6 linked regions of the Bombyx mori genome follow. The protein of the gene in region 1 interacts with the protein of each later gene in a biochemical or structural test. Links are inferred from orthologs where the notes say so. Each region holds a gene or a part of one and is shown on either strand. Other genes may lie near its edges. The genes, in order: DRK, actin nucleation-promoting factor WASL, tyrosine-protein phosphatase non-receptor type 11, NCK-interacting protein with SH3 domain, PLCg and guanine nucleotide-releasing factor 2.

Region 1 (5,461 bases):
TTATACTTCAATAAATAAAATAATAGTTTACTATTTTAACTTAGTTTTATTTTTACTTTAACGGAAAATAAGTAGAAATGACTTAGCTTGCGATTTTTTGTTTCCCAAATTATGTACATAGTTATCTTTTAAAATCAATTTATTTTAAAGAATGTCAGCTGCGTAATATAACGTTATTATATTTTTAATCAAACTTTTCTAATTTTATTATACATTTTTTTGGTTTTATGTATTTATTTGCTTTCAAATTAAGAAAGGAGAATTAGCAAAATTGTATTTTTGTAAGCAGATTTTTTATTATGAATTTTTCAAAATTAATTTTGCAGTTGTAAATAAAATTAAGTACATGCTATTGCCCTTATTTTTTTGGATAGCAATAAACTGTTTCTGTTTGGCAAAAATATGTTACAATTTACTGATTATAGTCCTCCATTTAAGTGGTAATTATTTCACGTATCGGAACTTTTGTATCATATTAAACTTGATGCCGGCTAGAAAGGCAAAGGCAGTTATTACTAGAATCCAATTGCTAGTTTGAACCTCATGTCATAATTTGGCATTCATGTTTTGATGTCTATGAGCTTCGGTAACCACATCAAACTAGGCGGGCTTTGATCTCGCTCACGCGTTCAAGCAAATAAATAGCAAAAATAAACACAACAGTAACGAAATGTAAAATAGTGATTATTTGTAAGATAATATCGATGAAGTTAAAGAATATTTCATCACAACCACAATATTTAAAAAAAATATGGTGCGTGTACAACTTGGTGCACGTGAAAAAAGGGAAACTTCTTTTGTGGTGTGTAGTATTGTGGTTTTCTTCATTTTTCATCTTTAAATCAAATTTCCCCATTAATAAGGAATGCTATATATAAGATAAACTATCTAGCTCACTTTGTCCTTTCCCTCTCTCCACGGTCGAGTGGTTCATGAGACGCTCTGTCTATTTTCTCACTCTCGGTCTTCCTTAATGAGAAATATGTATATGCTGAAAGTGAAAAAAAATTAGCCAAGTTACCATTCAGGCAATATCATTTTGTGGTCTTTAATGGCAAGTCGTCCTTCGTCCATAGTCGTCCTTCTAGTCTACATTCTGCTGAAAAGTTTAAATTTAGACCTAAGTTTTGATGGCAATTCGTCTCTTAAACTTAGTTGGGGCGTCTGAATCTAAATCTTTTAGTCAATTTCAATATTTTCATAATGAATTAGGTTTTTAAATTCATCTACATGTTTTACGAATCCTTATAGTAGACGATTCTTATAAGTGAGATCCAATTCAAATGTAGAATGAATTTGTTTTTAGTCTTTACAGGTAAAGTTGATGTTATGTTCCTTGCCAGTATCAAAAACACACATGAATGCAAGTAAATTTTCGAGCTAAAAACACAGCTGCAAAGTGGCAACATTTTGATTTTTTTGTCAATTTGTAAAGTGAGTGATGTGTTGAGTACAGACGGATTCCGATTGGGTTTTTCTAAATTTGTAACTAAAACGCATCTTTTTTATTCAACATTGTGAGACAATACGTGCATTATGATTATTTTACTTCCTTGACATTAGACATTTTGGAAAGTTTGTGTACTTTAAGAGTTATTTTTAAGAATTCGGTGACATTTCAGTGAAGTGCCTAATTTGATCATGGAGGCTCTAGCAAAACACGATTTTACTGCAACCGCAGATGATGAGCTCAGTTTTAGAAAAAATCAAGTATTAAAAGTAAGTTAAATATTTATTTAACTTTTTGTTTTGTTTAATACCTAGCGATAGTTCTTTCTAGAATGGTTCCTATTGCAGATTCTAAACATGGAGGACGATATGAACTGGTACAGAGCTGAATTAGACGGGAAAGAAGGGCTCATTCCTAGTAATTACATACAAATGAAAAATCACAGGTAAGTGGGATATCTAATATTTCTAGTCTTAAAATTATAACTGATACTTATAACGATTTTAAAATATTCTTAATTAAAATAACCAGTTTATTTTTGACTTAGGTTTTATTTGTGAAAGCAAGAAGATATTGCTCTTGTGTAGCTATGTAGAGATCTCAGATAAAATTTAGAAAAAGAATGTTTTCATTTCATTCCAAACATTTGCTGAAGAAAACTGATAATGTAAACATTGTTTGTTTATAATTAAACTTGGGCTGGTCTACTCATTTTTATTTACATTTAACTACTATGGTATCCGGAGAGTGTTGCCAAACCTAATCTACAAAGTCATTTCATTATTCTTTAGAAGAAGAACATACAAAATGAATGTTATTTATAGATACACAACAGAAATTTCATGTAACTTACCAGCTGCCACTAAACTAATCAACAAATGTTTGTTTACATTACCAATTGTAATAATAAAAGCCAAAGTGTCTTTAAACATATGAAGTGTATTTTGAAAGGAGAAAACAATATTTGATTTCAAAGTAAATTATAAATTTGGTGTATTTTTTATTACACAATTAAGAATTACGAAAAGTGCTTTTTTTATTTGAGTACTAAACTTTATTTCATGATTCTCAATGAGAAAAGATTTGAATAGATAGAAGGTAGTTATTAAACATATATTAAAGAGAATGGTCTCTTCAACTAGAATCTGATTATACATCAGAAATAAACCTGTTGATTTTGTAAGTGCTAATGCTTTGCCAAGCAATAAAATTAATGTGAAGGCTATGCCTGAAGTGATACAAATGCTCCTTTAATTCATAGTGTTGAGTAGTACTATAATATGAATGCAGAACATACTACCATGACCACCTAATTTGAGATGTGAGATGCAGTATCAATTGCATTGTGATAATAACTGTCCTAAGGTTCAAACCTAAAGGCACAATTGCTGCAAGACAAATATGGTATACAGAGACACACATACAGTGTATGCTTACAGCATACCTGACCACCAAAAACTACTATTAGTAATAATAGTAATAAAAATTCTAAATATTTGTAGAACATTTACTTATTTTTTGTTTATACCTTACTGGTGTATTGTGTGGTGTATATTGTATCAGCTAGACTGGAAGAGAAATCTAAGCACATCCAGTGCATCGACTTAATGAATTGGATGTCAGAATGAGGTCACAAACCACCTTGTGTCAAGTAGTTACAGGAGCTTATAGATATTACGGTGTAAATTCTCACTATCCACCAGTTTTAAGGATTAAAAACTGTCTTGGGACATATTAAAAAAAAACCATAATTTTTAAGTAATTATTAATTTGAAAATAGTAAGTATTTGTATTTTAAAGGTGTGCCTACATAACCTCTCTTTTTCAGTTGGTATTATGGGCGTATTACAAGAGCAGATGCAGAAAAACTCTTAGCAAACAAACCTGAAGGTGGCTTCTTGATAAGGATCAGCGAATCAAGCCCTGGCGACTTCTCCTTATCAGTCAAGTAAGTCCTTTGTATTTTTACATGTAATGTTTATTATTTTTCACAGTAATAATAATCATTATTTATTATTTCTCTTTTAAAGTTATAGTACAAATACAAATAGAGATTAACCTTACAATTTATTTTGTTAGCCTTTGAAAGAACTGCAGTCTGTACTAGGTTCAAAGACCTGTATTACTGATCTCCAGGCTCCCTGCTTCTTAGGATAGATTAGGCTAGGTTAAGTCATGAACAGATGTCGCAGACTAAGTGTTGAGAGATCATTAGGTGTTATCATTTAAGTAGATATCAGTAGTTATCATTCCAACAGAAGACCGTTCATTATTATTATTTAAATAAACAATTTTATCTGGATGGAATGTTTTCTGTATGTTTGCATGTAAATAACTTAGTGTTTCTCTAAATGTTTTATCAATAGAGTCTATTAGTAATAAAATAAAAAGCTCCCTTATGTAATACTTATAAAACTAATATTGTATGTATATAGTATATTACAGCTTATAACTAAGGGAAAATTGTCTTTGTCTTAACAGAAAAATACATTATAGCAATGCTATCTAAAAATATATATTGGAATCACAATAACATTTACATTTTAAGTTCAGGTGAATGACCAGCATTTGCATCCACGGGTCACTGCAGTATAAATAAAGTAAATGAAGAGTAAAAAGAACCATCTATAGTCTTATGCAATTTAACATTGAAAAACCATTATAAGATAAATGTATTTAGGACGTCAGAAAATGTAATGTGTAAATAAATACTTTGTAAATGTAGTTTTAACCATGTGTGCGAATTCTAAAACTGAGTGAATATTAAAACATTTTATCTATTCATGGAAGGTTGGTCATAAGATAGATAGAGAACTTGATAAATTCAGAATTTTTCTTATCTCAATAATAAGAAAAATACACCATCTGAAATACGTACAAATAAATACATTCCATCCTTATCAAATTTTCTAGAATGACTAAACTTTATTTCCTTCTACAGTCAACAATAAAGAAAAAAAACAAACTATGACAAATACAATACTACTCATTTTACTTGTAAAGCTGTAAAATTTACCTCATATTCATCATGTGAACTAGTTCTGTTGAGTTTCTGTAGGCTTCTGTAATCACTTAACACCAGATGGGCCGTGAATCTGTTCACCCATCTGTTCAGCTAAAATAAATTGTTGTTGTAATAAATAATTGTTTTAAAATTATGTCACAGATCCATTTGGATAGACGGCTCTTTCTGTGTTTGTACTGTGTGTGCTATGGAGATGGATATTTATTGTTTATTTGCATGGACGAACTCACAGCCCTCCTAGAGTTAAGTGGTTACCAGAGCCCATAGACATCTACAACGTAAATGCCCCCCCACTCACCTCGAGACAAGAGTTTCTAAGGTCTCAAGTACAGTTACAACGGCTGCCCCACCCTTCAAACCGAAACGCCTCGCTGCTTCACGGCAGAAATTGGTGGGGTGGTGGTATCTACCCGCGCGGGCTCACAAGGGGTTGTACCACCAGTAATTACGCAAATTATAATTTTGCGGGTTTGATTTTTATTACACGATGTTATTCCTTCACCGTGGAAGTCAATCGTGAACATTTGTTGAGTACGTATTTCATTAGAAAACTTGGTACCCGCCTGAGATTCGAACACCGGTGCATCGGTCAACACGAATGCACCGGACGTCTTATCTTTTAGGCCACGACGACTGATAAAATGCTCCTGGCATTGCTGACATCCATGAGTGACGATCTACCTATAAAGTATAAAGTAAATACAATAGCATGTAATCGTTTACAAGTCGCAAATTTCTAAACTCGGCTTTTATATTAATGGAAACTAATTTCGAAAGTAAAAAATCTACGCTAAGTTACGAATTCCTACTTATCTACTACAGCAATGAAAACATTGCAATTTTTCAGGCAGTTTGCCTTTACATCACATTATCTATATATTAATACGTGAAGCAAAAATTTTGTATCCCTTTTTACGAAAATTGCGCTGACGGAGGAGACTGAAATTATCCACACTTATAGAGAATATAGAGAAGAAGTGCACAAT
Region 2 (5,008 bases), on another chromosome or scaffold:
GATAAAGATAAAGGTGCGTGGATCTTTTCTTTTTCTCCTTTTTTTTTTAGGTATGGCAATTGGCTTCTTGCGACGCCATTGTTGCCAGTGTCGAGTTCATAAAAATCTTCAATTGTAAAATACATACTAATATTCTGTTATATGAAGTAAAATAGGATGAAGTTAATTGATTTGACTATTTAATCGATTGGGATAAAATTAAATGAAACAAAATTTTATTGTGTGCTTAGTGCGAGTTTTTTAACGCTCTCGATAGCATAAAAGTTAACTTTTTGTATGCAGTTATAACAGCGCCCCTAGCGGCAAACGTAGGCAAACGTTCTGTTATGGGAATTTACTCTGAGGTCGTTTTAAAAAAAGGAAACTTTTAAGATTCGAACTATTTTATTTTATTTATACAATATGGATGATATACGTAATTCTCAGAGTAACCGCGAGAGCCGCACCCGTACTCTAAGACAGTTCACTCTCTACTGACTGTTCTCCGGTCTCCTTTAAAGTCTCTACCTCGAACCGTCTAGTCAGCGGTTTGAGGGTATCAGCATTTTAGGGTTCAGTACTCTGTACATATAATATAACAGTTCCAACTGCATACTAATTGGAGTTAACTATCAGGCCATCGAGAACGTTAAAAAACTCGCACTAAGCACATTGAACATTATTTTTATAAATGACTAGCTGTAACGGTCCGCTTCGCTGGGCATTTAAAATTAACATTATTATTTCTCACCCCCACAAAGATTCTCATCATTAACACCCCCGTAACTGGTGTAGGGAGTTCAACACTCATATAAATATTAGCCTATCCATTAAGTACATGCATATTCTACATGGATACCAAGTTTCAAGTCAATCGGATGCATGGTTCAGTAGTTATAACGGAACATCCGTAAAATAAAAACCACTGTAGATTTATATATTAGTATAGATAACCGATAGTCGCACAACGTCGCCTCTTCATTTGTAGCCATGAAGTCCAAGTCTCAGTTATGTTACAATAGCAGTGGTCACAGCGATACACAGGATCCCTTCGCGACTGATTCGCACCAGGACCTGGTGATGTCCACCCGTGCAGACACCCTCATCACAATGATTCCACTTTCGAGATTTGGATAGGATAGATTTGGATTTGAACTGGTGGTAGGACCTCTTATTACTGGTGGTAGGACCTCTTGTGAGTCCGCGCGGGTAGGTACCACCGCCCTGCCTATTTCTACCGTGAAGCAGTAATGCGTTTCGGTTTCAAGGGCGGGGCAGCCGTTGTAACTATACTGAGATCTTAGAACTTATATCTCAAGGTGGGTGGCGCATTTACGTTGTAGATGTCTATGGGCCACAGTAACCACTTAGCACCAGGTCGGCTGTGAGCTCGTTCACCTATCGAATTAATAAATATATTAACGTTTTCAGGGTTCGACGTGGAGACCACACAGGACGAGAAGCTCCTGTCGTTTCTGAAGGAGGCAGGAGTTTCGGAGGTCCACCTTCGCGACCAGGAGACGAGGAAATTCATATATAGCTTCATAGAGACGAACGGTGGCATTAACGCTGTCATGGAGGATCTGCACACAAACAATGAGAAGCCAATCAAAGGTATCATCAATCATCAATTTTGAAAATCGTCGTCGTGGCCTAAAGGATAAGACGTCCGATGCACTCGTGTTGAGCGATGCACCGGTGTTCGAATCCCGCAGGCGGGTAACAATTTTTCTAATGAAATACGTACTCAACAAATGTTCACGATTGACTTCCACGGTGAAGGAATAACATCGTGTAATAAAAATGAAACCCGCAAAATTATAATTTGCGTAATTACTGGTGGTAGGATCTATTGAGTCCGCGCGGGTAGGTACCACCGCCCTGTAAGCGGTTACTGGAGCCCATAGACATCTACAACGTAAATGCGCCATCCAAATTGAGAGATATGTTCTAAGGACACAAGTATAGTTACAACGGCTGCCCCGCCCTTCAAACCGAAACGCATTACTGCTTCATGGCAGAAATAGGCGGGGTGGTGGTACCCACCCGCGCGGACTCACAAGAGGTCCTACCACCAGTAATATTTTAGTTTTCCACTCTATCCTTACGCTGACCGTACGTATCGATGTTCCGCAGAGCGCAGCGCGCCGTCCCGCGCGCCCGCTCCCCCCGTCCCGCAGCGCAGCCCCGCCCTGCCGCACCCCCCCGCGCCACGTACGTACAGCACGCCGCGACACGTGCAAACGTTCACATGACATTTTTAATATGTACACTTTTAATTACCTAATTGATATAATGGTCATTTAACAAAATCAAACAAATCAACTTATTCATGCCTTGAACCGATTGATATTAACAAATTACAAATATTTAGTGTGAAGAAAACAATTCGATTATTTCACTTCACAAGTATGTATATAATGTTACTGGCGGTCCTCACTGGCCCAACGTAAGGCAAGTCATAATACTAAACACTATCGCTGGTACAATTAGTAACTATGTAGAGATAGGGTTTCGCAGATGTTTAATATCGAATGTGTCTGTTGCCGACGTATAGCGTCGCGAGCGCCGCCCCCCCCGCCCGGGCGCGCCGTGCCGCCTCCCCCTCCGCCGCCCGCCTCCGTCGCCCGCAACCCGCCGCCGCCCAGACCCGCGCCCCGTGAGTGCACACATACTATACACCAATATATCTTGTGATCATTGTTTCTCTCAGCGTCAGCTGAAGAGTAATTCTTACGGTTACTATGCACTTATTTGTATATGAGTCGACTATTATCAAAGCCGGCAATCTGACTTTTGGACAATGATTGGTAAATCAGAAAAACGGATTATTGACTTTGTATTCCATTGGCAGTCACAAAACTCTTCGGAACGACATCTTAGATAAATAACAGGTTAACTATTAACCTTTATTTAATGCAGGTTTTGAACCGTATTCTTTGAAGGAGACGATTATATTCAAATAAATCTATTGACATATCAATAAATTTTTTTTGTCCCAATGCACAGATTGCCACCTTTGATAATAGACGACTCATATATGAACATAAAAAAAAACTTATATAAAAAAAAAAAACATGCCCGCTGAGTTTCTTGCCAGTTCTCAGGACGGAGGCTAGTTTTTGTGAATTGGCGGTAGTTTGACGTTCAACAAGTATGTACTTTTATTTATGTTCTATACAATCTGAAGTAAATGTTTTCATTGTAAATGAATAATAATAATTTTAATATTAAGGTATACAGCAAAAATCGTAACACGTTTTATTCTTTATCCAGCACCATCGTCAGCGCCGCCATCAGTGCCTCCTCCGCCGCCGCCGGGCGTGGCCCCTCCGCCGCCGCCGCCCCCTCCGCCCCCGCCGCCGCCCGCGCCCGTGGCTCCGTCCCCGCCCCCGGACGCCCCCCCGATGCCGAAGGACGCAGCCGTCGCCGTGGACGCGCGCGCCGCACTCATGGAGAGCATACGTAGTGGAGCCAGCACTTTGAAGGTCCATATCTTTATTCTGTAAAATTTTTTTTCTATACCTCGAAATTTCCAGTTCGGCCTCGTCTTTTATTTATTTTTTATTGCTTAGATGGGTGGACGAGCTCACAGCCCACCTGGTGTTAAGTGGTTATTGGAGCCCATGGACATCTATGACGTAAATGCGCCACCCACTTTAATAAGTTCTAAGATCTCAGTATAACTACAACAGCTACTCCACTTTACAGAAAATTTATTAAATACATTACAGGAATTTACAGAAAAAAAAATTTGAATATCCCAGATGCGCTATAAGGGTCTTTAATAATTCAAACCTGAATTCGAATTGATAAAGTTCCGGGATACGTTTAATATTTCTTGTATTATTAAGCGTGCTTTTAGTTTTAATGAGCAAGCAATGTTAAGCAAACAATATTAGGGGTCAATGTCCGCCTTCAAGGCGTGTGAAAACGATCGAGTATCAAACCGTACTACTGACATTGTATTGAACAACATCAATATTGCCGAATAATAATAAATTTTATTATTTACTTAATTTACAGAGAGTCGAACCTGTTGCCAAAGCGCCACCTGTCGAGGACAACCGGAGCAACCTGCTGAGCGAGATACGACAGGGCGTCGAACTTAGATCCGTGAGTACACCCTTCAGATCTGCTTATGTAAAAATCAGTAAAAGAATATCCTTTTTTTTTTTATTGCTTAGATGGGTGGACGAGCTCACAGCCCACCTGATGTTAAGTGGTTACTGGAAGCCATAGACATCTACAACGTAAATGCGCCACCCACCTTGAGATATAAGTTCTAAGATCTCAGTAAAGTCACAATGGCTGCCCCACCCTTCAAACCGAAACGCATTACTGCTTCACGACAGAAATAGGTAGGGCGGTGGTACCCACCCGCGCGGACTCACAAGAGGTCCTACCACCAGTAATTACGAAAATTATAATTTTGCGAGTTTGATTTTTATTACACGATGCTATTCCTTCACCGTGGAAGTCAGTCGTGAACACTTGTTGAGTACGTATTTCATTAGAAAAATTGGTACCCGCCTGAGATTCGAACACCGGTGCATCGCTCAACACGAATGCACCGGACGTCTTAACCTTTAGGCCACGACGACATCTTTCTGTGTTTAAAATAAATGAAAAGATTTATGAAGTACTTTTTGCTCCGGCAGGTGGCGCCGGAGAGGCGCGGTGTAGGGGTGGGGGCGGCGGCGGCGGGGGCGGGCGTGGGGTGCGGGCTGGCGGGCGCCCTCGCGCGGGCCCTGCACGAGCGGAGCCGCGCCCTGCACTCCGACTCCGACGACGACTCCGACCTCAGCGACAACACCACCAGCGACGGGGAGTGGGACGACTGAGCCCACAGCCGACCTCCCACCAGGACACCAATAGAAGATCACAACGCAGATTCTTTTAAAAAGAGGGTAGTTTGTAAAAAACCATAATAGAAAGTGGGCCTGAACTGTAAACACGCAGTGTACAACACAGCACTCGACTATAAAAGTGACAATAGGATTTATGAAACACAAATGAAAACGTACAC
Region 3 (5,796 bases), on another chromosome or scaffold:
AATAAAATGTAATCAAGACCTAGTAAGAATTTAATGTGCATAATAAGAATTCCGTAGTTGACATCGACAAGCAAATGTGACATTCTGAGACTACCTTAATTTGAACAAATATTCCCACCACCGAAATATTCGAAATACATTATCGAGATTAAAGTATACATATAATAACAATTAGTAGCCTCACGGCCCATCTAGTGCTAAGTAGTTACCGGAGCCCATATATATTACAACATAATGCCACCACCCATCTCGAGAGATGATATCGTAGTTTCGATAGTATTGAATAGCTGCTTCACATTTCAAATCGGAACACGTGACTCCTTCGGGGCAGAAATAGGCAAGATGTTATTTCTTCATCGTGAAATTTGTTCCTGAAGTAAATCCGTATTTTCTATACCGGAATAGTTATCTACATCGCTTGATACACATAGCATTTTACTTTTTAGGCCACGGCAACTTTACGTAAGTATTATATACGACTAAATTATTATGTACTTTCACAATATTATATATTTTAAATATACACAAAAGACAAACCTGAGACTGCAATGTGGCCGTAGCTGACATTTTTAAAACAATGCTGTTGTATAATGTTCACGCGTATCTACACTGAAATCACTTTAACCGCATTACCTACGTATTTTGTTTTCCCGCCATTACCTTACTTTTTTTTAAGCGTATTTATGACCTGGTTACTAAGACCTTTAAGTCATGTCTTATGACTTAAATTCATATTCTTATTTTTATGAAAAATGATAATATGGAGGATATTAAACAGTTAATAAACCACCATTATTACATATTGAAACCTGAAGAAACACTAAATAGACAAAATAAAGCAAATCACACAACTTCCCTCCTCGCGTTTCCGCCAAATATCTTAGGCTCACCTTACCTTACATTTTCAAGCGTGCTGCCACAGATAAATTTGCGATTGAAACCAAAAAGTTTTATTAATAATATTTCAAAACTATATAGTTTCGGTTTTTGAATTTAAAACAAAATACAACAATAAACACGAATGACAACTGGTGACAAAATACACAAATAATTTTGGATTTATTGAATTGTGAAAAAATTAAGAACTGAAAAAAAAACCGGAAATGTTGTGCCCAGAAGGCTCTCAGCCTGAAAATGATACGTTATCCAAAAGCAATGATATCTGCCAAAAGAAACCAAACAAAGTTCCTGCTGAAGGAACAGACAGCTTGGAACTAACTTCCTATAAAAATCCTAAGACATGGAAGAAATCGATTTCTAATTTCTTCAGAAATCAACTACGTTCAACTAAATCCAATGAGGTAAGCATTTGCATTAATACAATCTGTTAAGATATTTTTGCCGTTGCTAAAAAAAATATTTTTCAGGGTGATCGGCCTTCAGGCAGTAAAGATAATTTTGAGGAAAAAGAGATCACTCCTGACCAAAAGTGGCAATCTTTGGGGAAAGTATTTCGTCGTCAAAGCTTTGCCGAAACGTGGAACAAGTCTCCTAAATCGCCAGGAGAAAATTCATCTCACAGTAAAAGGCTAGCGGTAAAAAAGGTCATTTCATCTTACTTTGGCAAAAGTCAAAAAGTTACGTCGGCGGATGGTGAAAAATAAACATGTACACAAATAAAAATGTTATACAGATCGTGTTGTATTTTAAATCACTAAGTTCGTTATTTGTAAATTTCACTTAACTAAAACATAAAATGTATTAAAACAATTTGAAAACAAGTAATTTAAAATGATAGACATGAATCATGTATGAAAATTATTTACGTTCAAAATGTTTACTTTGTCAGATATATACGAATATTCTTATGCCTAAATTTTAATTCATATCTGAAACTTCTCTTTATACTACTCATTAGAACATACTACAGTTATAAGAACCAAGTAGTATGATTGTGGTCCTTGTTAATTCCATTGAGGAAGGTCCTTAACGCACTAAGAAAATGCTCAAAAACCACCTTTTGTGGATTTTATGTAATTCCAAAAATTAAAGTATCGAACAAAATAAATTTCTCAACCCTTAAAGATAATACAAAAAAAATTAAGATAATGACCAAGGCTATTTTACTTCTATCTGATGAACTAACTGTATACAATCTTTCGTATAAGACCTTTTGTTGTATTCTTTGTATATTTTCTACGGTTTGAGTGAAAATAAGGGAAACATCCGATAGTAATAATTGCAGTACCTACCTACATCAATCATAAAGCAATGTTAACACAAAATATATATCGTTTGGTACGAAGTGCTTTGTTATTGTCCATTAATTAAACGCTTGGAAATTAGGTTATAGCTCATTTCTAAAATTACCTAACACATTAATTTATAGTAAGATAAATTTTAAACGTTCGAACTAATTTGTATAGATAAAATAGTATAGAAACAAAATTGGAAGTTCGTTCAAAAACCGATTGACATTCTGTTGACAACTTGTCAAGGCACAAATGGGCTACAAAATCACTAGACTGACATTTCTCCAGGCAACTCAAAGAACAAAATTCATTTTCAGCTTTTCGTGCTAAATAATTTAATTTACGATTTATTTTGTTTAATAACACATTTTCATGTTCGTTTATGCTTTTAATTACAACATTAGGTTAACATTCGAGCCGTGCCAGTGTATTCAGTGTATACGCCCTTGAAAATCGTGTGTAAAAAATCTAAAGTCAGCATAGCAACAGTACTTAGATCCGTATAATTATTATATTATGGGATACCGCCGGGATTGTACATCACGGGTGCCTTTATGAGGTGAGTAGTGTGTGTTGTGGTCGATATAGGCGAGTCTAGTACAAGGAAAAAGCGTAAAATGAATAAAGAAATGTACCTTTGTGTTACATTGCCATATATACATATAAGTGCAAGGCTATATGTCACTTTAAGCCAGTCGAGAACACAATAATAAATTAGCGAATTGTAATCCTGTTGCCTATTTTTTCTATTTATATTGCGATATACAAATCTGCAAACATTTTCCATTTAATATATTTTTTCTATATGCAATACCACTTGATATCTAACAGAAACCAAAACATGTGGTAAATCAATAACTTTACTTAAGTTTCCAACAACTTGGTTTTGTTTTCAGCAAAAATACCCAAATAGGTTATGAATCTCGTAATTCAACAAAACGAGCCATTTCTCTGATTCATCTAAAGTTCTATCACCATTCATATATCCCAATAGGAAGGTAGGGAAAAAGCTTAGAGAGTAAGTTTAAAACTATATTTTGCCAAGCTTTTAACTCTAATGAACACACATCACATACTTTTAGCAAAGTGAAAAAAGGTGTTACTGAATACTAAGTTGCTGAAACTGCAAACCCTCACTCTAGAGACTCTGCTAATTATGAATTTATACTTTATGTCTAATGGTAACAACTTAAATGGGCTGTTAGCATGTACCTACAGCAATATCAATGAAAAAATAGTATGTGCACCATGGGAAAAAATTAGGACAACTCATCCCGCGTGTTTGGCAACTTTACACGCGGGAGGAAGTGTCCTACTTTTCTCCCTTGGTGCACAATGTACTATTACTTAAAAAAAGTCTTCAAGGAATCTGTAACAGTCATAAAGAATTAAGATGTGTAATAAAAGAAAAAGAGTACAACATCCAAAAAGTTTAAAAAGCATCTGATATTCTAAGTAGATATTATAAAACAAATACACACAATAAAAACATTTAGGTAATATAAACATACAAAGATACTTAAATAAATAAATACACAATGTTTATATTAATATGGGCCTTTAGTACTTTGAAAGAATTTAAATCATACTCTTTTCTGGCAGTATAAGTTAAAACATTCAGAATTTATCACAGTTTATTTCCAATGTTGAAATAACTTGGAATAATCTCTTTCAAAATACTCTTTCAAAACAATTACGTTAAAATGTAAATTATATTATGAAATGAAGAAAAAATAATTAAGTATTGTTTTCATTATTTCCAGATGGTTGATGAAAATGTACGGGCATTCAGAAGTGAACAAGAAAAAACACTGAATTAATATTTAAGGTATTGTAAGTTGCAAAAGTGGTGCTTTCTATTAGTGTAAGATGATAACTCGAAGATGGTTCCACCCCTCGCTGAATGGTGTGGACGCGGAAAAATTGCTCATGGAGTGCGGTCACGATGGGTATTTCCTGGCCAGGCCAAGTTCAAGTAATAAAGGAGATTTCACTCTCTCCGTCCGAAGAGGAAATGAGGTCACTCATATAAAAATTCAGAACAACGGCGAATTTCTCGATCTTTATGGAGGTGAAAAATTTGCTACCCTGTCAGAACTCGTCCAATATTATATGGACAATCAATGCCAGCTAAGAGAAAAAAATGGAAATATAATTAGGTTAAAAACGCCTCTCAACTGTGCAGATCCAACAACCGAACGATGGTACCACGGGCAGCTCACTGCCAAGGAAGCAGAGAGAATGATGATGGAAAACGGAAAAAACGGGTCGTTTCTCGTTCGCGAATCCCAAAGGCAACCTGGCGACTTCGTGTTGTCCGTTCGCACGAGAGATCGAGTTACACATGTGATAATTAGGCGAAAGGACAACAAATATGACGTAGGTGGGGGGCAACAGTTTGACGATCTCGTAAGTCTAATAGAATACTATCGTAGTTTTCCCATGGTCGAGACTACTGGTGAGGTACTAAGATTAATCCAACCCTTCAACGCTACACGTATACAGGTAAGACATTTTCACACGCGCGTAAAACAACTTCAAAAGGAAAACGAGGGACCCATCGAGAGCATGGCCTACAAACAAGGTTTCTGGGAGGAATTCGAAACGTTACAGATGATGGAGAACTTGCAGTTGTTCGACAGAATGGAGGGTTCGAAACCGGAGAATATTAGGAAAAACAGATACAAAAATATTATACCATTCGATCACACGCGTGTTATTTTAAAGGACATCCCCCCTGACGGTCCTCCGGGCTCAGATTACATCAATGCCAACTACATTCGATGTGACAGTATGGATTCCATTTCCGATTCCCAAGAATTCACAGGGAACGGCAGCACTGAAAACGGCAAAGACGGTACGCCGTCGAAAGCTAAAGATAAATCATCGCCTGTTCATACAAGCGTTATCGTAACTGAAGAGCCGGTCAAATCAAGTAAGAAGGTGCACGGCAACGGAACACACAAGCTGCCGGCGTTCGAACCGAGCGTTCTTCGTCCCAACCCGAATTATTTCAATACGACAATACCGAAATCAGCGACCGAAACCGAAAACGGTGTGCCCACTGTACACGTGTACAACAAAACGTACATAGCTACTCAAGGCTGTCTTTCGACAACAATATACCCGTTCTGGTCGATGATATGGCAAGAGGACGTCCGCATCATCATAATGACGACAAAGGAGATCGAGCGCGGGAAGGTCAAATGCGAAAGGTACTGGCCGGACTTGAACAAAACAGAGGTCGTCAAGAAGTACACGATACTTAACGAATTCGAATCCTCCACGCCGGATTATACGCTTCGACGGTTCCTTGTCACGAAAAAAGATGAGACTACAGTGAAGCGGACCATATATCATTTCCATTTCACGGCCTGGCCGGACCATCGTGTTCCCTCAGAGCCCGGTCGCGTGCTCAACATTCTACTGGACGTGAACTACAGGCTACAGCAGATAATGACGGGGACCGATCCTCCGGCGCAGGCGGTCGTATGTGTTCATTGCTCGGCGGGTATAGGTCGGACGGGAACCTTCATAGTCATCGATATGATCTTGGACCAAATAAGAAAGGAAGGGTTCGACTGCGAGATCGACATACATCGCA
Region 4 (5,008 bases), on another chromosome or scaffold:
GCTCAGGAGCCTAACTTCTCTACTTTATAACTTTACTGCTAGCTGTTTGAAGTTACATATTTTGCTTATTGAATACCTAGTAACTAATTGCCTAAATATATTTTTGTAGCCATTGAATATTATTTATTTTTATGTCTAATTATTTTTGTTTTATTACACAATTGTTTGCTCTCAATGAATAAAGTATATTGGTTGCTTAATAGTTCCAACTGGAATTACCTGCATTATTGCATAAGACATATTAAGTTGCATATGGATGAGTCTTATATACTACTTTACGTAATAATAAAATATATCGTTTCAGTCAAATGCTGATGTCAACATATCCCAACATGTGTTGAGCAGTCATCGATATGTTTATGTGACAACTTTGGTACAGTATTATCAGATGGAAACTCGGTGGCCCCTACGTCAGCTACTGTTACAGGTAACCAATGATATGTTTTGTGATTCTTCTAATGTAACTGACTAGTAAAATGAAAACATTAAATACACCCATTTATGATAACAACAGAAAACAATAACATTCATTATAAATATTAGGACAATTGCAAAGTCTTCTTATGTTGTCTCCCAGAAACTTATCCATTAATGCATCATTGTACGATGTATAATAGTATGAGTATTACATAGTTACACTGAGATATGTATGTCTGAGGATGTTAAAAGCATGAAAAATAGCACGATACTTTAAAAAATACAGAAGCTTAAAAAGAATTTCATATTTTTATAAATTATAAATATAAGACAGTTTTAGTTAGTGCTCAGTAAAAGATCTTGGCTTAATTCCAGTCATAATTCATTTAAATATTCATTTTAAACCAGTGTTCAATTTACATAGTACGGATTTCAATTCATTGGGAATAAGCAAGACCTGAGCTTGTTTTGGATTATTCTAAGTGATGAAACTGTATTCTAATATGGAAAAGTGCTTGTAATTAACTACTTAAATAAAAAGTCAAAAGTTAATTTTTTACGTAGTTTTGGAGGCATTCCGAATTTACTTCCTACTTTTTAAACAACTTCAAATAAAAATAAGGTGGAGATACTCAATTTCTGCTGTAGGATTTTTTGCATCAATGTTGTATGATTCCTTTTTCCAACAAAACAGATTATATCTATTTTGGCTTTGCTTGAATTTGACTCCTGTGTGCTTAGTGCGAGTTTTTTAACGTTCTCGATATCGTAAAAGTTAACTCAAATTTGAATGCAGTTGGAACAGCACCCCTAGCGCCAAACGTAGGCAAACGTTCCAACTCCATACAAATTTGAGTTAACTTTAGCTTTAACTTTACACTTAAACGTTAAAAAACTCGCACTAAGCACACTGCTTAGAAACCGACTTAGTTTGGATAAGATTTGTTAAGTATATTCGAACCTAAAAATATTTTATCACGAATAATTAAGAGCGCCCTCCTGGTTAGGATAAAGAAAACTTGAATATTCGCTTAATGGTCATACGCTTTTTCAGGCATTTGGTATAATGTGCGGCCTAGAGCGTACAGCCCTAGCAACATTGGCGCTGTCATCGTTACCGGCGGAGATTGCTCGAGACATGCGCGACAACCCTAGGGCCGTCAGCCGTCTCTCTCACTCCGCTCTGCTACTCTCCATGGTTCTATCTATGGGAGACAAACTTCCGGTCACACATTTCGAGCAGCTCGGCCTTGAATTTGCACAATTTTTGCTGGAGTTGCTTGAAGATCCACCGGAAACCGATGTCGATGAACAGATACCTGATTTGTTTTCAACTCTCCTTTTGGCCTACAACTTGCAGTTTGAGAACCCATTCGACAACATATTGTTGAATGCATTGGAAACAAGGGACATGGCCAAAACATTCTGTGAGAAAGTGCTCTTGTTACTCAATCGTGAAGGTAAAGTGGCTTAATTCAATATAAAACAAAAAGATACAGATGAATTATGTATGTGTATAAAAAGAATTAATCTCATTCTGCATAATAGGGTATACTTTGTTAATCATATTGTTACGCGCTGGGGTTCGGGATAAATAAAACTTCCACCGAAGTACAAATTAAAACTCTATTAAACACTTAGACTTCTTCCGCTTCGCTTCAGGTGATCTGTTCGCTGTTTCGCTTCGAGTAGATCCGATTACTAACTGCCTTCGTGCAAGCAAGCAAGCAAGAGGGGTCGTTGTACCCGTTGTACGGGGGCACGGCGTGCTGCCTTCGTGTCATTTCTGCAATGCTTTTATAGTCGATACGACATCCCTAGAATCATAGATTATACACTTAATATATTAGAGATAGATGCGCAACTCTCATTTTTATTTTTGCTTTAGTTAAAGCCCGGTCCAGCAGGCGTCGCTACGGTCGATTATTAGTCTCCCTACCCCCCACCAGGTGGCTTTTTTAGTAATTTTAATATTTTTAATAACTCTCTTTATGAAAAAATCTTATCGTTTAGAATCGCTGAAATTCCCGGTAGTACTTATGAGATATTAAGGAATGTTTGATTGTGTTCAGCATTCTAATCGATAAGATCTTTTCATACAGAGAGAAAACAGTTTTTTAAAATAAAAAGCTGTAATTCTCTGTAAGCTATTTAATTTCCCTATATTACAAACAATTTTCTGTTAAAAGATTGTATGAACGTACAATTGTATAAAATTTCGAATAACAATAACTCCTCTAGATTAATCCTACTAGCGTACACATTAAATCGAAAGTTATCTAAAAGTTAATTAAGTCTAGATAATCAAATCATTCAATGTCAATTAAGTCATTTGTGCGAAATATAAACATGTCAGCTTTCCATTACAAACATAGTAGACAATTTGAATTAAATTTAATAAATTTGTTTCTTAACGATAGCAGTTCTTGCTTAAAGTTGATCGTGACAGATCATGACCTTGTATGAAAATATTACATTTATAAACACTACCTATGCTTCGTCATACAATAATTGTCATTTAAACTAGCATTGTAGAGATAATACACACACTAAAGTGAATACTAAATTATTCTTAGCATTCTTATAAACATTTAGAAATTTAAGAAACGATTAACCCACTATCATGTTCATAACATGTGACATTTTATTCTGCACAAACGTTTTGTTACATGATTTGAAAAACAAAAAAAAAAAAACAAAAAATGTTTAAAAAATGTAATGATGATTTAAAGTACTCTTAAATATTGATAGTTTGTACTTAATGACGCTTATAGTAATCTTAGACATGATTACATTAGTTATACTTTTATTCCCTATCTAAATTATTTCTATTCTGACGTTTCTGATGCTTTAGCTTTGGTAATACTAGATGAAACAAACAGCAGATTGAAAGAAAATCATCTTAAAGTTAATTACATTCATTACAAACCATTAGTTTGCATTTTGTTACAAAAGAAACTGATGTTCGTTACATGCAAATGAATTATAAACATACACATGCAAACATAAAATGTAAATTTATCTTTTAATCCAAATTAAATGTACATTAATATTACATCTAAATAATAGAAAGGGTTTCGAAAATTTTTATTGCACTCAACAGCAGACGAGCACGCAACCCGGCTCATGATAAGTGGTCACCAGTGCTTATAAACTTCAGCAGTGCCATAGGGGTTGCTGTCTATCACTTAAGTTTTAATAAATTATTAATATACTCAGTCACAAGCATATTGATTTCACATAATGAAAATGTAAGAAACATAATCATGTTTGGGCATTTTCATTTATATCTGCTCATACAGAAAACACAACTTAGCAAATATATTCCACAGTTAATCTAAATAATTGCAAATAATGCTTTTGAAGACCGTTGACTTTTGATCATTAATTAAAATCATCTTCTCGTAGAATTTACAAAAGGTTATTTACAAAAATTTATATCAGTATTTTCATATATTACTAACTTACTAATTACAACTATTCAAACGTAATACTATAACTATAAGAACTAAACAACCTATTTTAAAACAAAATTGGCATCAATTTAGTTCTTATGAAGTATTTCAATTATTAATTTATAAATTATAAACATATTTAAAAAAAATTAAGATCCTTGAGAGTTCACGTTCCTTGCTGAATCAGTTTCTCTTCTGAAACGGAGAAACAAAGTATCTTAAGTATGTAACAAATATTGAAAAATTTAGTGTTAATGTAATCATACTTACAAATTAATATATTACATAACACGTTCTGGTTCAAATATAGTGCATCAATCTTTTCATGTTTCAGACATTTTAGTGCTCCTTATAATTTTTCCATAAAATTTTGTCATTATCAAACCTTTGTCTACAAAAATAAAAACATTATTTTATATTGGGTAGAAGGATGAACGTGGTCACAGGCCACTTGGCGTAACTTGGTTATCAAACACCAGGAAACAAAACGTGAATGCCATCATCTAACTTTGGATGTGAGATCAATTGTGCTGTATTTTATTTAAACAGGAAACCATGACTGATTGATCATTCCGAAAAACTAGTTCGGGCCCACTTGACAATAAGCATATAATACGCTGAGTTGCAAAACATAAATACTTCCACCCACTCGAGACAATTTTATTATCTGAGGTGTGTGTGTGATAGTACAAGACTTAATACCGACTGTTTTGATCAAAACTTAACATATATGATAGCTAGGCAGCAGAAATAGGAAGGACCATTAGTTGGTGCTAATTCATTTAATTATATTATGAATAATAATTCTGTTAGCAAATAATATACCGGGAAAATAGTGTAAACTCACCGTTATCAAGGCATCCGAAATAGCATTTCATTTTCGATCTTGGAGGCATGCTGATTTTTAATAATAAACTTTCTGTAAGAAATGAAAATTAGTTACACAGGCTTACGAAACGCTAACGAAGAAAAAAGTATTGGAGCCAAGTTATGTCTAAAGAGAATTCAAAACAGAGTTTCTCAATGTCTAATCGTCTAATATTCTCATAAAGCTAAAAGTTGCTCTAAATTAATACTACAACATAAAATAACTCACACCAAGACCAAAAAAAAAACGATTTAAAAAATTAAAGCGT
Region 5 (5,491 bases), on another chromosome or scaffold:
AAATGTCCAATTACCTATTTATTTTTAACACACTATACTTATGACTATTAGCGTTTTTTATCTTACCTATTTGCTGGTAGCGAGGCTATTACAGCTACGCGCGGACGGGTAGGTGACCTCACGGACTCAACCTGAGAGAATTTGCAAACACTAGCCCTATAAAGAGCAGTGTTTCGCCGTCGGATCTACCTCCACGCGCATACGCATACGAACCCTCCCTCTCATTCCTCCCTTCATCAGTCCACCCCTGCCCTAAGTGGCAGGGAGTTTCTGCCCGGGCAGTGGGGTTTGCCCCGAGGCCCGTTCCGTGCCCCCGTAAGGGGGTACGACGACCCTTCTTCTTCTTCTTCTTCGGATCTACCACCGGATCGTAATCACGACCTCCTGAGAAGATCGGCCGAGAAACTCAGTGGATTGTGTCTATAGATTAGTTCATTTTAATTAGTAACTCTTGGTAATAAACGACGAGTAAGTCGAAGAAGCGTGCTAAGGCTTTCTTAAGATACTTACGTACCGGTTCTAAAGATTAGTCGTGAAGGCAGACATTATACAGAAAACGGAAATAAACGGAAAAAAATTGAAAATGAAATAGGTTGACAATAAAAGAATAAAAATTTACTTATGTTACTTAAGGTTTTGTCTTTTCCTATTTATGTAAGCTTATACTCAAAATTTTGATATTTGTATTTGCGCTAATGCCTTGAAAAAAAACATTTATTTCATGTGCGTGTCTGGAATTAACTCTGCTCATTTAAGCTTACACTGTGGTTAACACTATTGATTGACCTGCTTTAAACGAGATTCGAAAAGAATCAACAACGGTATACAACGGCCCAAATATACAATATAACAATAGGTCGTGTAAACAAAAAAAAATCTACACATAGGTATCATCACAAAATAAAAACGTATATGTATGCATATAGGTTTTCCATTTCAAAACACACGTTTGCCTTTCAATTTATTACAAATTACATACATACTCTAAGTATTAAATCTATTTGATTACAATTACTACTATGTTTTGAAATTCATCAATGACCTTTCTACGTTACACTTCTGTACTTAATTAACACAATATTATTAGAATCGATATCCAAAAAAGAATTGTTTTGTTTTGGTCTTCGATCGCATAACATCAAGTGGATCATGATTCGTCTGCCTATTTAAGAAAAACATTAAGCGATATATTCATTAACACTACACATTAGCTGATTGATTTGAAGAGAGATTAAAAAAAAGTATACTAAAACTATGAAAATCTGCGGTATAGAAATCTTTATCAATAAATACATGCTTATAACAAACATACATACGGTGATGGGTTATTTGCGAATGAGCATATATCTATATTGTGAATAACTACTAATGTACTACTAAAATATCAAGGGTAAAGGTTTAAAATGTAAGGTCTATCTATTTCAATTTTACCGCCAATATCGTTTATATTTTTTAGTAAGTTGGCGGGATCCCATGATCTTAATTTCCTGGTTGAGCCTTTGCTCGCTCACCTGTCCAAGTAAAACTGGAAAGGCATCCGGGCCACCAGTAAAAGCATTCAATCATAAAAAAATGATCTTTATTTATTTAACATAGTACTTTTTTTTTAATTGGGCTATCATTATTTAATAGAACGTCTCAAACTTATCAACATGTAAAAAAAAACAATACAAAACTATAGGTTCATACTGTCATAAAATTTAGATTTCAATAAATTGAAAAAGTTTATAATTGAGCCTCTTGACGTAAGAAATGTCAGTCAAAGAATTGAATGCTAAAACCAGCTAAAACGGAACGTAATCATCCCCGTCTCAACCATCTCATCATTTATATATTAAGTGTATAATCTATGCATCTCATTTGGTTTGGAAATGTCAAACAAACTAAATATCAAAGTGTGTGTAATGTAGAAATAGCCAGTAATAATGTATTTTAAACTCGGGTGCCTTATTTATATGTAGAGAAATATTAGCAGTCGCTCTTTTATTTCATGCGTTGTTCACTTTCGCCACAGTTTGCTTGCATCCGGCGGTGAGGGCGGAAGTGCAATGAAGTCGGTCTGCTTCAACGGGGCCAAAGATAGGCTCATACACGAGGCAGACCAGCTTATCTCCTACATAGAAAGAGGCTCTACCGTTTTAAAATTCTTCCCTCGTAAGAGACCCGAAAGGCGTGCACTTTGCGTGAGAAGAGAGACCCATCAAGTTCTTTGGTCTCGAATCAATGCCCCTCAGAGACAGGGCTACGAAGGGGCTCTCGATATCCGTGATGTCAAAGAAGTTCGCACTGGAAAATCATCCAAAGACTTTGAGCGTTGGCCTGAAGAAACCAAACGTCTTGAAAGTTCAAAATGCTTTACCATTTATTATGGAACTGAATTTAAACTTCGCTGTGCATCATTTGTTGGTATGTTGAAGTAGTTTATAAACATTTCTAAATGTGTGAGTGCGCGGACTGAGTTCTGTTAATTTTATGTTTCCTCTATAAATGGATCTGAGTCACTATTTACAATCTTTCAGCTCAAACAGATAAAGAGTGTGAAGCTTGGGTGAAAGGTGTACTGTATCTAATAGCAGAAGCTGTCAGTGCATCATATCCTCTACAGATTGAAAGATGGCTCCGGAAAGAATTCTATTCTATTGAAAACTCCCATGAAAAGTGAGTTATTTTTAAAAATGTGAATGTAAAAATTGCCAGTAATTGTTATTTTACCATTCCATATGTGATTTCAATGATTAATTATGTTTCTTTCTTGCCTATTTTGGTACATTAGCAGCAATTGTTATTATTTTCCAGTAAACTAGAGTATATATAGATCTCAGTAAGTAGTAATTGATGAAAGTAAACTTAATTAGCTTTTTTACATAAATGGAACATATTGTAATGTAATTTATTGTAAGGCAGGCTTTGTCAACACATTTTTAGTAATAGGTATGTAAAAGTAACAAACTATTACCAAATGATCATAAAGTAAAATAAATTGTAATAGAAAACAATGCAAAGCTTGCAATGTAATATTAAGTTAAACTCAAGTTATATTGCTTTATTAGTCTTTCAATTGTCTGTTACATATTTTCATTATTTAGTGTGAGTAAATATGAAAAACCTATTGTTATATTAATTTTCTTATTTCAATTTAATTAGCTTGAAAATGCATATATATTGTAAATGTAATATACAAAAATCATTTTAGAATAACATTAAAAGAGGTCAAAGCTTTTCTACCAAAAATTAATTGTAAAATTTCAACAAGTAAGCTTCGAGATGTATTCCAAGATGTTGACACTGAAAAAAGAGGGGAGATTGGCTTTGATGATTTTGCTGTTCTTTATCAGAAGCTAATTTTTGATGAGAATGTAAGTATTCATCTAATTTACTAAAAAGTAGGTTATCATAAACAACAAATCTAGTATTTCTTTAAATGTTACTAATTAAACTTATTCAAACATCAAACTTGTTATTTATTAAGATAAATGAGTAGATGAGCTCTTGGCTCACAAGGTATGTAATCATCAAAGCTTATAGGTATAACGAGAAGCCATTAGTTTCTTAATCTGAAATATGGATCAGTCCATCAATAGTTTGAAACCTTTGATTGTTCTAGGGTAGAAGACATGATGTCTTGATGTTTTTGGTTGCAAATTTTTTAAAACTGTACATTTTTTAAAACTGTAAATTATTTAATACATTTTTCTGGTGGGCAATATTATATAGTATTAGATATTATGTTGCTTCCTCAAAAAACTGTCAACTATTCTATTAGAGGGTAAGAGCTGTTTAGGAAGATTATAATATGGATGTAGTGATAGTAACTCAAATTAATCCATGTCTCACATAAATTATCTTAATGATGGCTTCATCAGAAGTCGTGAAAAAATCTGTGACCTTTTATTATACTCTCATAAACAAACAATATATTATGAATGCATTAAGAACCATATTGGCTTAGAAATCAGGCAATGCCACATTCACTGAATTAATAAGAAAGTAATTTTTTATGCATTTAACTCCTTGTCCACATTATAATATTTTAATATAAACTTATAGACAGTGATGTATGTAAAATATATTTTTTTCAGAATGTTCAGGACATATTTGATAAATACTCAGTCTATTGTTCTAATGGTACTACTATTACTCTTAGAGAGTTTCAAAATTTCCTTAGAGATGAACAGCATGATAACCTTGGTGATGATGAAGTACAAGCCTCACAGTTCATCCGTGATTACTTAAGAGATCCACAAAGAGACATCTATGAACCTTATTTCACTTTAAGCGAGGTAAATTAACTCAGCAGTGTGAAGTAGTACTTCTTGCATGGTGAAAATACTTTTTCTACAAAGTTTTGCTTCCATTTTGTTTTCTGTGACCTGCTACTGCCATTTTACTTTATACATAAGACGGTTATTAAGATTGTAGGTGATTCTGGTCTTACCTATAATTTCGAGCCTCTGAGTCTTTATGGAAGGCCTCAGTTCTCCCTGTTGCTGCCCACCATAAATGCAAACCTCTTTCCTACTACTTATAGTATGATACTTATAGTAGGAAAGAGGTTGTTGTACTGGGCATGCTATGGCTTTAAGAAACTGCAGCATGCCCAGTACACTCAATGGGCTTCCCCACTTTTTTTTTGCCATGGATACTACTGATGTCCAGGAGCAACCAGGTGGTATGTACGCTCAGCGTTTTCATGATGATAACACATTTAAATTATGAGCGCCTGCTTTGCAAGCTGTTCTATTCTCGTTATCTAAAGCTGTATTCTTATACCAAATATAATGTATAAATTATTTCTAAATAATCAATTACAATATTTCTCATTCCACTAATAGAGATATTCAAACTTTTTTTAAATTTTTCTTTAAATTACCTAATTGCAGTTTGTCGAGATGCTGTACTCCAAGCAGAATTCCATCTATGACAGTCAGTATGATAAGGTTACACAAGATATGACCAGGCCTTTGTCACACTATTGGATATCTTCTTCTCATAACACGTAAGCATAAATGTTATTATATTGATGAAACTTTTCGTGGATTGCATATCATGCATTAAGTGGTTCTACATATTGTGTTATTGTAGGTATCTGACAGGTGACCAGTTTTCAAGTGAATCATCACTGGAGGCCTACGTGCGGTGCTTGAGGTCAGGCTGTCGTTGTATTGAGCTAGATTGTTGGGATGGTCCTGACGGCACACCTTTTATTTATCACGGGCACACACTGACAACGAAAATAAGGTTTATGGATGTACTGCGAACAATAAAAGAACATGCATTCATCACATCTGAATATCCATTAATTTTGTCTATCGAAGACAACTGCTCACTCCCACAGCAAAGACGAATGGCGAGCGCATTTCAAGACGTATTCGGTGACCTTCTTCTTGTTCATCCAATGGATAAGAATGAAACATCACTTCCCTCTCCTCATGACTTACGCAGAAAAATAATCCTGAAACATAAAAAATTACCTGAAGGTGCTGAAGAAAGT
Region 6 (5,008 bases), on another chromosome or scaffold:
TTTTACATTTTGTATTGTTTTGTGTTTCTCCACAGAGATATTTCAGACAGACTTTGAGTTAGTATTTATGAAATGGAAAGACTAACTTATTATGGCGTTTAGGAGGATTGGTCTGAACTGAAATATCTCTGTTAAGCTTGTTGTTATTGTTTTTGCAGTACTTTTAACAGTACAGACTGTGTGAGCGAAATGAGGTGCACAGTGCAAAGTTTTGAGAGCCGCATGAATGTAACAAACATGAACCAATGTATCACGCACCATTCCTCGCAGTGAGTGTCCACACCCTCATCGTTACCTTCACACTGTAAACGGTTCGCTCAGATAACCTATTTTAATTAGAATTGAATGTATTTTCTGAATATCGTGTTCCATTATAAAAGTTCAGTTAAAATAGGTTTTTGAGCTAAGACAATAATTGTTTTCGTTCCTTTTTTTATCAATTTTAACATTTTTTTTAAACCAACTTAATTCACAATTGTTGTAATCTTTGATTAACATAAATTTTCATCCATTTATTTGTCAGAATTTTGTGCCGACTGTGATTCTTCAGAGTGGCTAATTTGACGTTGTAAATGACTCAAAAGCATGAAACAGTCAATTTAATATAAACCACAATAGGTGCAAAAAAGGTGTTCAACAATGATTGAGTGGTTTTGTAAAAATGCAATAATATGTTTCGAATTTATGGCCAAGTTAAAAGTCACAATAATTAACACTAATCATACCAACACTTACTGGTTCCCTTTTTCTACCATAGCGGGTAGATAACGGTATAATATGACAAGTAATACTAAAAACAAACAAAACAAAACAAAAAGAAATAATATAATACCAGTAGATTAATTGGTAAGAAAAAGTCATGAAGTGCGCAAAAGCAACAAGATGATACGTGCATTTTCAATACAAAAGTTCAAAATGGGTCATTTGACCCGCTATGGTATGTTTAGTGTTAACGAACAGAACGACAGCTGTCACACCAGTAAATCGACTTCGTATTCGAAGTTCGACTTCGTAACGTATTAGGCAATTAATGTTCTTCGCAATGCTTCCAGCAGACTGGCGAGCATTACTTCAGACGAGAGCGAGACTCCACCGGAGCTGCCCGCCAAGACGAGGCGCAACATTCGAGCCGACGTACAGCAACACTTCCCGAATGTCGAAATCAGGTATATATTTATTCGTTTTTTTCTTTATTATAATTACAAATATATGTAAAATAATAATCGTTCATGTAGCTGGACAGGTGCAGTCCTATTATTTTTTAAACCATGTACATATCGAAGGGTAAAAGGCTATTTGGTTTAAGCGATATTCTAACGACTGCAGGAGAGCCATTTAAAGTACAAAATTTGGAAAAAAACCATAACAAAAAAAAACTTCAGCTATTTGAATGGAGTAAACGTAATTGAAGTTCAGTTAAAAACATCTAATCGTTGATACTAATACCAAAAAAACAAACCTTTAATTACAATGATAAATGTCGCGTATATCAACCGAAATGTCGCTTAAACCAAATAGCATTTCACCCCTCGATATCATGTAGCTCACGTTTGGTAAACTCGTCTGTAATGTTATAACATTCGTATGGCATTCGCTAAAGTGCAAATATTGCTAAAGCTGGAGAAAATCAAACAAATTTTAAAATGACTTCTGAGTTTTATTGAGGTAAAAGTGAGAGTAAAATAAAGTGCTCGTTGTTGGCCAACGAATTGTAATTCTGCAAAGGTTGCATTAAGTAACTTGTCGTTTAGGCGTGACGCTTGGCTGAGTTAATTGCTCGTCTGATCCGCTAAGCGAGATCATTTTTAGATTTACACAATGTTGTGATGCCGCAATACGTCCCACATTTTTCCGTTGTTTTAAATATATATTTTTGTTTACAAGTCGAATTTAATAAAAAAAAAATTGTTGAATGAAAATTGTTTGAGCTAAAAAGTGTTAATAATAATATGTGTTTAGATCGAACCCAGTATGTTCTCTGCACGGCGATGCCAGACCGCACACATTAGCTGATCACCATCCACCGAGGCCCCCACCATTGCCGCTAAAGAAAAAACACAGTGAGTATATCGATATTTTTTATTACATAAAAAGTATCTGTAGGCATTTTCATATATTCAATAGTAGTTAGATTAACAAGTGTTGCAAGAAATCGCCGAATTGAATATCAGATTTTATTTATAAATTATTTGTTATAACTGATCTATGAAATTCCGTATGACAGTTATCGAAATAGTTTGTGTAACCATGTGAACTAGAAATTTGGTATCTTTATGTGTATGTATGTCTATAGTTATTTGTTTCATACCGAGGTAAAGTTCTTGTGTATTTCAACAGGATAAATAATTTTATTTTGGTGTACAATGTTTATATTTTCTATAGATAACATAGAAAATACAGATTATAATACGCATTAAAGAAAAGTTATTTAAAATGTGTAAGAATTTTAATATTCAATTGTTTTACTATCCTGAAGGAAATATATATCAAACCATGATAACATCACGTAATACGTACTTGTTTGATGACATAACACTAAACATAAAATGAAAAAAAAAAATTAGTTTTGAAAATTGCATATTTTTACAAGATATTGTTAATACTTTGAATTATGAAGAATTAATGCTTATGAACGGTACATTGTGATTATGTACGTTTAGAAATAACTTCATAATCTATTGGGAATCAGAGTATAAAATTTGTTGGAGAAAAATAATTGTTTCTGGATTTTTGAAACTAATTAAATGCAATCTCCTTTTTTGGTACTTAGCGAAATTTCAAAATCATTACAATTAACAAATAAATACCAATAGTAATTTTTTCATTTCTTGAATCAAACATATCAATTTTTATGATGTCGACTTTGCGTTTTAAATAAAAAAACAATAAAATTATAGTATGTAAATTATGAAACTACCCTCAAATTTTCACTACTTGCATGGGTCTGCTCTCGATGTGTCAGTATGGTCCGTCGTTACTGGCTGTCAGTTCATCCTCACGCGCTCACTGCACTCTGGAATGTAATAACGTCTGCGATTGTGTCATTGAATGGGAATGTCTGTCCTCGGAGGGTACTTCTTGAATGTAAATGTTATATATATTGTATGTTGGGGCTATAACGGCATGTTTGTCTTTGTCGGTGCGGCGCCGCAGTGTTCCAAAGCGTCGCCTACAGCGGTGAGTGGATCTATGCATGAAACGCGCTACACGATGGCTCTGGTGCAAAACACGATGGGAATCAATTATGTTTCGTCGATCATAAAACTCTATTCAATTTCTTTTTTTATGACTACAACGAACAAACGAACGAATATTAAAAAAAAAAACTAATATTTAAAAAAAAAAGACATGCCCGCTGAGTTTCTTGCCAGTTCTTCGCCGGACGGAGGCTAGTTTTGTGAATGAGCGGTAGTTCTTTTTGACGTTCAACAAGTGTGTACTTTTATTTATGTTGAATAAAAAAAAAATGATTTGATTTGATTGATTTAAACACTATGTGGACCTTTAAATAATACGAAAACATAATTAATCCTGATGTCGTGTTTTGTGTTTTTTTTTAAACTAGAGATCCACTCCATTGAATGACATTGGAGTTTATATATAATTTAAGTGTGCTTGAAGCAATCTTTGTTTTGAAGTTGATCCCTCATGATAACCATCAAGAGGTCTCCTAAACGCTACCAATTTTGTCTAATATATTTCGTTTTGCATCATTACATTGTCACTAACAAAAAAAAAAAATGTAAATAAATTGTTATGAAATACTCTTGATTCATAATTTTATTCATATAAAAAGTGTTCAATACGAAGCCTTGAGTATAATACATAATGAAAAGGAAGGGCTCTCATATTAGGAAAATGTTTCGAAATGCGTTTACGTAAGCCGAAACAGTTCTAATATACTAAGCAAAGCAATATGTAATAGTTTTGTTATTAATTTTTCGTGCATCCACAAACTAATCTATAGACAGGGGTCAACGACATAAACCCTGACTATTGCGCGTCTGCTGATTTTTGGATGTGATACATTGCGTATAAAAATGTGTTTAGATCATGTTTTTTTAATTGTGTACGCAATAAGTAGTACTAATTTTTGTCTTCGTTTTCGGAACGTTTTAGAGAAACTAGATAATTAAATATAATTGTGGTATTGGTAGAAAATTTTACAGTTCACCTTCATTGTGTTAGTAAATTCTTGAACATCGCACTATTATTTTTCTGGACAAAGTACTAAACAACACATATATATTCTGTAAAGTATGTATAATGGAATTGCTTTGGCGTTGAAGTTTAGGATAATCTCAATTATCTAAGATTTAAAATTTATGTTTCAAAATGTTAGGAGTTAAATAACCGACGCCTAAATTTTATTTTTACCGCAAAGAGATTTCTCTTAAAAATAAATTGATGAACAATCTTCGCATTTATCACGATAAGCCTGCCTTGCTTTAAACGTAGAAATGTATTTATTCCCGCTAATTGGTATATCGCAGCTTGAAATAGCGTATTGTCGAATATACGCGACGTAGCTAATTATCACTTATGAACTTACTTAGTGCTTCATTATAATGCGTCCTTGCTTTGTTCGGTGTTCATTTGGCGGCTCATTGTACATACAACGCACGTATTCCATGTTCACAACAACCATAGCGTGATTACTTTTCATTAAATCATAATGTTAGTAGTGTACAAAATTCACTTGAAGTTATTGAAAGCATTAAATAAATAAATAAAAACAAAGCTCTAGCTTGTTGAGTGAAAATTTTAATAAATTCTATTATAATAAATAAATGTATATTTTTTTAGTTATTTTAAAAATCACGTGAATTTTGTAACACTTGATGCGTCTTTATATCGTTTAACCAGAAATTTGTGTTTGTGCAGTAATGGCGTACATGGAAATGTTCGGTAACTGTAGTCACCCGCCGAACAACGCGGCCGCACCGCCCGATATGTTCCGACATTCCATACACACGTACAATTTGGCCAGGTTAGTGTTTTTTTTCTC

The links.
Region 2: the proteins of DRK (region 1) and actin nucleation-promoting factor WASL form a complex in vitro, tested with the Homo sapiens proteins (2 studies listed by BioGRID). The link is inferred for Bombyx mori from reciprocal best matches to the Homo sapiens genes GRB2 and WAS.
Region 3: the proteins of DRK (region 1) and tyrosine-protein phosphatase non-receptor type 11 form a complex in vitro, tested with the Homo sapiens proteins (4 studies listed by BioGRID, with this or other methods). The link is inferred for Bombyx mori from reciprocal best matches to the Homo sapiens genes GRB2 and PTPN11.
Region 4: the proteins of DRK (region 1) and NCK-interacting protein with SH3 domain form a complex in vitro, tested with the Homo sapiens proteins (2 studies listed by BioGRID). The link is inferred for Bombyx mori from reciprocal best matches to the Homo sapiens genes GRB2 and NCKIPSD.
Region 5: the proteins of DRK (region 1) and PLCg form a complex in vitro, tested with the Homo sapiens proteins (2 studies listed by BioGRID). The link is inferred for Bombyx mori from reciprocal best matches to the Homo sapiens genes GRB2 and PLCG1.
Region 6: the proteins of DRK (region 1) and guanine nucleotide-releasing factor 2 form a complex in vitro, tested with the Homo sapiens proteins (2 studies listed by BioGRID and IntAct, with this or other methods). The link is inferred for Bombyx mori from reciprocal best matches to the Homo sapiens genes GRB2 and RAPGEF1.

What each region holds. Positions count from the first base shown.
Region 1 is NC_085123.1:5,829,666-5,835,126, reverse strand, and holds the start of DRK (DRK protein), read left to right. Parts: upstream 1-1,641; coding exon 1,642-1,719; intron 1,720-1,797; coding exon 1,798-1,895; intron 1,896-3,278; coding exon 3,279-3,398; intron 3,399-5,461. UniProt on the Homo sapiens protein: Non-enzymatic adapter protein that plays a pivotal role in precisely regulated signaling cascades from cell surface receptors to cellular responses, including signaling transduction and gene expression.
Region 2 is NC_085121.1:15,505,818-15,510,825, forward strand, and holds part of actin nucleation-promoting factor WASL, read left to right. Parts: coding exon 1-13; intron 14-1,410; coding exon 1,411-1,593; intron 1,594-2,115; coding exon 2,116-2,193; intron 2,194-2,536; coding exon 2,537-2,638; intron 2,639-3,255; coding exon 3,256-3,467; intron 3,468-4,005; coding exon 4,006-4,095; intron 4,096-4,640; coding exon 4,641-4,823; 3' UTR 4,824-5,008. UniProt on the Homo sapiens protein: Effector protein for Rho-type GTPases that regulates actin filament reorganization via its interaction with the Arp2/3 complex. Important for efficient actin polymerization. Possible regulator of lymphocyte and platelet function.
Region 3 is NC_085119.1:16,185,715-16,191,510, reverse strand, and holds the start of tyrosine-protein phosphatase non-receptor type 11, read left to right. Parts: upstream 1-2,421; 5' UTR 2,422-2,751; intron 2,752-3,955; 5' UTR 3,956-4,061; coding exon 4,062-5,796. Other genes in the region: uncharacterized protein LOC101737689, read right to left, coding at 538-567; uncharacterized protein LOC101736406, read left to right, coding at 1,104-1,301, 1,368-1,604. UniProt on the Homo sapiens protein: Acts downstream of various receptor and cytoplasmic protein tyrosine kinases to participate in the signal transduction from the cell surface to the nucleus. Positively regulates MAPK signal transduction pathway. Dephosphorylates GAB1, ARHGAP35 and EGFR.
Region 4 is NC_085116.1:6,563,474-6,568,481, reverse strand, and holds part of NCK-interacting protein with SH3 domain, read left to right. Parts: intron 1-304; coding exon 305-427; intron 428-1,471; coding exon 1,472-1,877; intron 1,878-2,079; coding exon of another isoform or gene 2,080-2,246; exon of another isoform or gene 2,247-2,305; coding exon of another isoform or gene 2,306-2,379; exon of another isoform or gene 2,380-4,067; intron 4,068-4,142; exon of another isoform or gene 4,143-5,008. UniProt on the Homo sapiens protein: Has an important role in stress fiber formation induced by active diaphanous protein homolog 1 (DRF1). Induces microspike formation, in vivo. In vitro, stimulates N-WASP-induced ARP2/3 complex activation in the absence of CDC42.
Region 5 is NC_085107.1:5,700,347-5,705,837, reverse strand, and holds the start of PLCg (phospholipase C gamma), read left to right. Parts: upstream 1-1,764; 5' UTR 1,765-1,895; exon of another isoform or gene 1,896-2,014; 5' UTR 2,015-2,048; coding exon 2,049-2,406; intron 2,407-2,519; coding exon 2,520-2,658; intron 2,659-3,193; coding exon 3,194-3,356; intron 3,357-4,079; coding exon 4,080-4,280; intron 4,281-4,880; coding exon 4,881-4,996; intron 4,997-5,082; coding exon 5,083-5,491. UniProt on the Homo sapiens protein: Mediates the production of the second messenger molecules diacylglycerol (DAG) and inositol 1,4,5-trisphosphate (IP3). Plays an important role in the regulation of intracellular signaling cascades.
Region 6 is NC_085121.1:7,790,113-7,795,120, forward strand, and holds part of guanine nucleotide-releasing factor 2, read left to right. Parts: intron 1-158; coding exon 159-269; intron 270-1,052; coding exon 1,053-1,166; intron 1,167-1,959; coding exon 1,960-2,060; intron 2,061-3,153; coding exon 3,154-3,177; intron 3,178-4,884; coding exon 4,885-4,990; intron 4,991-5,008. UniProt on the Homo sapiens protein: Guanine nucleotide-releasing protein that binds to SH3 domain of CRK and GRB2/ASH. Transduces signals from CRK to activate RAS. Involved in cell branching and adhesion mediated by BCAR1-CRK-RAPGEF1 signaling and activation of RAP1.